2 linked regions of the Drosophila melanogaster genome follow. The protein of the gene in region 2 interacts with the protein of the main gene of each other region in a pairwise test. Each region holds a gene or a part of one and is shown on either strand. Other genes may lie near its edges.

Region 1 (3,758 bases), on a different chromosome or scaffold from region 2:
TCGTCGTCGTTCGGCAGATTAAGCTGTCAGCAAAGAAACACAACATTTTGGCCACTTTGTATGTATTTTTAAATACGCTCAGTTAATCAAAAATATTCGTACATATATAATTTGATTTTCAGCTCCCTTCGCACGCAAATCAAATTAATGTTGCATGCGTTACTTTTCCACTCTCCTAAAATGTGTGACGACCTTGTGCCATGAAAAATGTATGCTTTCTGGGCATGAAAAAAAAAAGAATCATAATCAAATTTAACTGTTGTCATCATGATTTATTTACTCAAGAACAAAACACGACAAACGATGACGAACTCGCCTTCAGACAGAAGACAGAAGCACAAAGATAAATTAATCGCCAGTCAGTCACAGAGTCGATCGGTCTATTGCCCGAAGTCATTTATTCACAAATGCTCGTATATGAGTATATCGGGGCAAACTCGAGATTTAAGCCGGGTATGTCGTCATAGCTACAATAATGAGAAAACAACTTGTTTTGCCTGCAGGAGCAAATCCATTTTGCAATTATTTGCCTGTTTCAGTTAATTATAATTATTTGCGAAGCAACAAAATGCAAGCAAAAACAAACTATACAAACATGACTCTAAACAATATTCTTTGTTGAAAAATAAAAAAAAATCGGGTTCCAACAACTGAATTGTGACTTTGAAATCAGCTTAGCACTTTGAAATTAGACGCTATGTGAAAACAACTTGAGAAGTGCACACACCCAATACATCTGAACTGAAACTGATCGAAACGAATTAGAATAAATTATAAAATCCAAATATATGGACAGGAGTCAAAAGCGTCGGCTATCAGATACCCATCAAAAATATTTTAATTACAATTTAAATTGCTGAAAATTACTGAACACCACGTTTCGAAGAATTGTTATTATATATATTTATATTATCTTACAGGAAATACTTTAAATACTTGTCATGAATTAAAGTTAAAACAACAAAATTCCACCATCCATTCTTAAAACACTTAAATGACAAACAAATGAGGAGATTTCCTTGAACTTTACTTCGACGTGCCTCATAATTCGCCACGAAATCCAAGTTGATCCAAATAAATACCAAGAATGAGTATCATTTATGGTCTGGCAACCAAAGTTCAACCTTAAAAATGGAGATCCGACACAAGTCAAGCTTTGGTAGCTGATACCATCTCAATCAAAGGCGAATAAACATTTTTAACTATTTTCAAGTGAGCTCAAGCAATGTCTGACTTGTACAAATGAATGTCAAGCGCTGCTGCAGCAGCAAATAAAATTAGCAATAAATTTAAATAAATAACTGCCTGGCGATATTAGATCATACGAAATCTCAGGGGGCCGTCTACGCGTACTCGTGGTAGCACTCAAAACACTCGAAACGAAACCGAAAATCCATCCGAATCGGAAATCACTCAAGAGAGTGCGCCAAAGACCAACTGGGACCGTACTATGCGATACAGTACGATACGATACGATCCGATACGATACGATCCCATCCGATCCGGCCAACGCAAAAAGCACCCACACATCGGGTGGATGTGGATATTTGGGGAAAGAGAGAACTGGTTTCTCTTCAATGACTTTGTGCTGAGCTGTGCTGTGTTGTGTTGTGTTGTGCGCTGGGCTGTTTTGTGTTGGCGTTGGCGAGCGCCAGTGGGTTTCTCGGTTTATTGGTCGTCGCTGAGAAAACGAGACTGTGCTGCCTTTTAATGCGGCATTTCATTCATTGATCGTTCCAATAGCGCGCCGCACGCTCAGCGCAGCGGACAAGTGAGCCAAAAGTCCGACTTCCACTGCCATCGCCGCCCACCTGAGCCGCTAACCTGGCTAACGGAGTCAAAGCCAACTGGGGGCAGTAGTCAGCTGATTTAGCTGCCACCGCATCCCAAGCCAAACCAAGTCAGACCATCCCAGCGATCCGCGAGATATATCTATTCAGTGCACAGCCGACAAGCGCAGCAGGCGGACGCAGCGCAGCATTTTCTCCGTGTATTTTCGTATGCCATCTCGGGATATTGGATACAGATACAGATTCCGAGATACAGATACACAGAACGCGAGCGACGCGCACTCATAGATATTTTTAGCAACCGGCCTCACGCACACCGCCGCACACATTAGTACCGCCGCACTGACACACGCGGCTTGCACGTTTTCACGGAAAATCCATTCTTCGAGGCTTTTCCAGCAGGCCCAAGATAAACACAACTCAAGAATGCGCGAAAACCGTACCGAAGTTATTATCAATAGTTAAACCAGCGGCGCAATCACAACCGCAACAACCACAACCACCGCAATATTAATTCAAACCAAAACAAGTTCCAGAAGTTTTTGAGGAAATAAAAACTGAAAACAAACCTTTTTTGTTGTGTTAACATGCCAAATTTATGCATGAGCTAATAACTTTAAATCCGAAAAGAATAAAAAAAAGTCCAAACAAAACAAAATTCAAACAAAGATCGCATATCAAAATTAGTTGGGTGACTAATTAGACAGCGCGTTGTCGGAATTTCAATTTGCATACTTTGGCGCAACTTTAATGAACCAAAAATTAAAATAAAAACATCAACAAATCTTAATCAGAGTGCACAACTGAATTCAAATCATCCTGAAAGACCAATCCCGCAGCCATACATTGTTGGATTTATGAAATCAAAAAGGTAAATATACCGCCGCCATTTATCAGACATAAGCGTTCAGATATAGAAAAGATATAGAAGATCTGCCCGATCTCTTGTTGCCGCCCCAATAAAAATAGACAAAAGGCATTCCTCTGTCCAATCACGTTAGTGGCTGGCAGATGGGGCAGGGCGGGCTTTTAAGAAACTTCTGAAACATTTATTTGTCCAAGGTGTTGAAAAGCCAGATGTGTGCAGGGGAAAATGTTTTCGAGCTGCTCAGCAGGGAAAACGGCGACGACAGCCAGTTGTCAACTGATTTTCAAAGGTTACCGAAGGGAAGCAGCAACTTGGCTGCGTTTGTTTGCGACCAAAGTAGGGGGAACAGTTTAATTAATGTGCAAACAAAAGCTGTGAATTCTCATCATCAATGAGAGTCCCGCTTAACCTGCCACTCACTTTAAATCTGTGATGTGCTAATCAACGCCGGCATTTATTTATTTACTTTCATTTTCGCCATACCATTCGGCAACAAGCACTATGTTTGCCCAAATAATCGAGTAAAATTGGTTTCTGGCAGCCAGTCAATCGCCGATTTTAATTTGGCATTTATTTATTTAATATATTAATATATTATTCATTTTGTCGAAAGCTAAAATAAACTAGCATCTCATGGGCTGACTCAATACATGATTAAAAAATGTTATTCGTCATAAATATTTTATGATTTACAAAAAAAAAATTCGCCAAAAATACACGCATTAATCGAGTCAAATTTTAATGATTTTTCTGCCATGGAAAGGTGCATCTAAAATTAAATTAGTTTATGGACACATGAGTCTATTGCTACCCTATATATACTTGCCTACCTCATTGTTTGCTGTCCCCCTGACCCAAATCTCGATCGTATGTGGGAAAAGCCAGCGCCCCTCCTTGCAAAGAGACTTAAACAATAACAATAGCAGGAATAAATCAAGAAAAATAAAAGTTAGTCGTAGGCAAATGCCAGAGACCTGTCAAAAAATCAAGCAAATCAAAAGCCGATGGGTAATACAAAACCACACAGAAAGCTATCAAAATATAACTCATACGTATTCGTATTTATCCACACGGTGGTGGAAGGGAGACGGTGAATGTAA
Region 2 (3,758 bases):
ATGTTTCCTAATTTCGGATAGCAAAAAAAGCATCGTAAGTTAAGGGTTAATGCAACTACAATGCCTAGCTACGGCCACACTGATTGAAGCCGTGTTATGGTAACAATCAGCTGTTCACAATGATAACAACTCGCACTGCTGATTCTATATAGTTGTTTACGTTGATTATTAGTTTTATATTAATTAAAAATGTCAGCTTTGCTTCTTTTACGCACCTGTAGAAGTTCATCAATTGCTGGCATCTACAAATACACATACCAAGGAACAACTATTGCGAATCACACATGCAATCATCGTCTGTCGTCTACAGAAGCGGCGGCCGCGAGTGTCCAACTGGCAAATGCCGGTGGATTGGTGGGATATTGGCAGACCTTGTCCAACAGCACGCCGGTGGCCTATATGCAGGATGTTCTCATTAAGATCCACGACTACAGTGGCCTGCCCTGGTGGGCGTCCATCGTGCTGTCCACTTTCCTTTTTCGGAGCGTGGTCACCCTGCCTCTGACCATTTACCAGCACAAAATCACCGCCAGAATTGAAAAGATAGCGCTGGAGATGCCGGCCATTGTGGAGGAACTGAAAAAAGAGGCAGCCATGGCCAAGCACAAGTTCAAGTGGAGCGAAAAGCAGACTCAGATTGTTTATCGGCGTTCGGTTTGTTAAAATTCAAATGTTTGCGAGACACTCTTCGTCATGTCAATTATCTTACAGATCAAGAAGCAGTGGCAGAACCTTATAGTTCGGGATAACTGCCATCCCATGAAGACCATGATTGTGCTATGGGGTCAGATTCCCCTGTGGATCTTTCAATCCGTGGCTCTGCGCAATTTAGTGTACATGCTGCCGGATCCCACGTCCATTCAAGCTCAAATCGTGACCACCGAAATGACCATTGGCGGATTTGGTTGGATACCAAACCTTACGGTGGTGGATAACTCTTATATCCTGCCTGTAGCATTAGGTCTTATCAATTTGGCCATCATTGAAGTGCAAGCCATGTCTAGAACTCGTCCTTCTACACGCTTGCAGAACATCGCCAACAATGTGTTCCGTGGATTGAGTGTTGTGATGGTTCCAGTAGCCTGTACAGTGCCTTCAGCTTTATGTGTATACTGGGTAGCTTCCAGCAGTTTTGGCCTTGCTCAAAATCTGCTCATCCTCTCGCCGGAAGTGCGACGATCTGTGGGAATTCCCAAAACACAAACGGAACTCAGTGAGCCGTACGATCTGCTCTGGCTAAAAATACAGCAGAGGCTAAGACTTGCCGAGAGGGCGCCGGCTGATAAGCCGGCAGCCAAATGATCTAGTCTCTTAGTCATAATCACCTAGTCTAATTTGGGTATGACGTTTAGTTTGTTTAAATGCGACTGCGCCACTGTAATTCATCATCATCATTCTTAAGCTCCAACATCTCAGATTCATAGAAGTAAATAAATGAGTGAAAAACCCCAAAAGAAATGCAAACAAAACAAGGCGATAAGACAGCAAAAAGGTCTTGAGATTACAAGCCCTGATAGTGTGGTCCACTCAATTGGTTTGGCGACAAACGAGAGCATCTATCAGCGGCGGCAGAGATAGAGATTCATCCCGAGTCCAATTGAATTGAAATGCGATCTGGGTGTGGGTCAGTCGAGCCTGGAATTCGAACGGGATCACAACGAAGAATTTAAAGCGCGAGAAAAACAATTGTGTAGTTGCTATCAGCATCGGTGCATTTTAAGAAATATTTAAATTCAAATACTTATAAAGCGGAAACGTAAAATGATGGCCAAGTGGCTCCTTGGCCTTTGGCTGGCGATCCTGCTAGTGGATGTTAGTGTAGAAAGTTTATTAATAATTTCAAATTGTGTTTTTTAAGGATATCATCTAGATTCTAGATTATTTACAATTTTTTAAGATTTTAGTCAAACTAAAAATGTTGTTTAGGAATTTAAAACGCGCTTAAGACTTTAATTTTAATTGAACTTAATTACAAGCTATTAGCTAAATTTTGCCTCTAATTACTTACGGTTGTTCAATAATATTTCATAATTGCGCTTTTGACAGCGACCCGGGGCTAAAGCTTATCGATCAGGCAGTGGCTACCACAGCGAGCAGTCGGAACCAGTTGGCTTATCAGCAACAGGGAACGCACACTCGAGTTACGGAGGCGACCAGCAGCAGCCTATTTACCATCGGGATTCGGCATGCCCGCCGCATTTTACGGGTCTGGTTGCATATCCCCACGACTGTCATCGCTATGTGAACTGCTTCGATGGCAGCCCCACCATTCAGACGTGTTCGCCCGGAACTCTGTTCAATGACAGGACCCAGGTGTGCGATCATCCCAGCAATGTGGTTTGCCCTTCAGCGGAATCTGCATCTACTCGACTGGGAAGACTTAGGCAATTAGATAGTGAACCCAAGTGTCAACCGGGAGTGAATGGATTGCAACCGCATCCTTCGGATTGCAGCAAGTTTCTTAACTGCGCCAATGGTCAAGCTTTTATTATGGACTGCGCACCAGGAACTGCTTTTAGTCCAGCATCACTGGTATGTGTGCACAAGGATTTGGCCAAATGCGGATCGGGAACTGGAGCAGTACGAGATGATACCTCCGGCACCGGTACGTATGAGTGATTTAAATACAAAAATCTTGACTAACACTCGGTTAGGCTACCCTGCGTTGCCTTTTGATGACTTGGGCTGTCCACCCGGTACACGTGGGCTTCGTCCACATCCGCACGACGTGCACAAGTATTTGAGGTGCGGAATTGGGGTTAAGCCTCAGGTGGAACAGTGTCCACGGGGCCACATCTTCGATGGCTCCTCTTCGGTATGTGTGTATTCTGACTCCCCTCGGACCTCCTGTAAGTGTCATTTCATTTCTTATCCCTACTGCTTGGCCTCGCTTGATTCATCTGCTTTTTCATTTCGGGTTATTTTCTCATATTACGCTGTACACGCTTTGCTTGCCTGCTTAGTTGATAGACTCTAATCCTGATCCCTTTGAATTGTAACAGCTTCCTCCTTCACGTCGGCTGAGATTCAGGTCAACTATCTCTTGTGTCCAGTGGGAGCCGTTGGCCAATTTGTTCATCCCTTTGATCAAACAAAATTCCTTAGTTGTAAGGATGGTAAATCGGCTGTGCAAAACTGCCAACCTAATTATGTGTTTAGCATATCGAGGCGCTACTGTCAGTTAAAAGCACAATTAGCCTTTACCGACTATGTCACATTAATTATCTCCGAAATCAGCTATGAGTATTGTAAGTTACTTTATCATCACTGTACACTAGAATTTATGATAATATTTTACTAGCACTTATCCTTAATGCCTGTCCTGGTAACATCAACGGCATCTTCTTGTATCCCTACGATGCTAAAAAGTACGTTCAGTGCTCGTCTGGTGGCAGAATGTCCATCCTAAGTTGTGGCCCCCAGATGGCATTCAGTGTATCCCAAAGAAGTTGTCTTCCAAGTCATCAAGTGCACATATCTGATCGGGTGCAGTTCTGGCAGGAAGTCCAAGTTCAGACCACTTATACTTCTCAAGACTTACGGGGAAATGTTCAAAGCCAGCTGTCTTCACTTAGATCGTGTCCACCCAATGTCCAGAAGAATTACCCTTATCCATTCCATGCTGGCCACTATGTCAGGTGCCAATATGGAGCATTAGAGATCATATGCTGTCCCACTGGACAGCTTTACAGCCTCTCCCAGCGTCAATGTGTGCCTCGTAGCCTTCTCTCTGCACATGATTACTTGGATTACTCCTA

The links. Proteins that work in one complex are often made in the same cells at the same time.
Region 1: the proteins of teq (region 2) and tx interact in a two-hybrid assay, tested with the Drosophila melanogaster proteins (one large-scale study listed by BioGRID).

The regions. Positions count from the first base shown.
Region 1 is NT_033777.3:26,439,076-26,442,833, forward strand, and holds the start of tx (taxi), read left to right. Parts: upstream 1-1,702; 5' UTR 1,703-2,661; intron 2,662-3,758. UniProt on the Drosophila melanogaster protein: Probably plays an important role in the differentiation of epidermal cells into the tendon cells that form the attachment sites for all muscles.
Region 2 is NT_037436.4:9,073,018-9,076,775, forward strand, and holds the start of teq (tequila), read left to right. Parts: upstream 1-1,625; 5' UTR 1,626-1,761; coding exon 1,762-1,812; intron 1,813-2,046; coding exon 2,047-2,605; intron 2,606-2,654; coding exon of another isoform or gene 2,655-2,849; intron 2,850-3,002; coding exon of another isoform or gene 3,003-3,248; intron 3,249-3,301; coding exon of another isoform or gene 3,302-3,758. Other genes in the region: CG4942 (uncharacterized protein), read left to right, coding at 190-654, 712-1,302.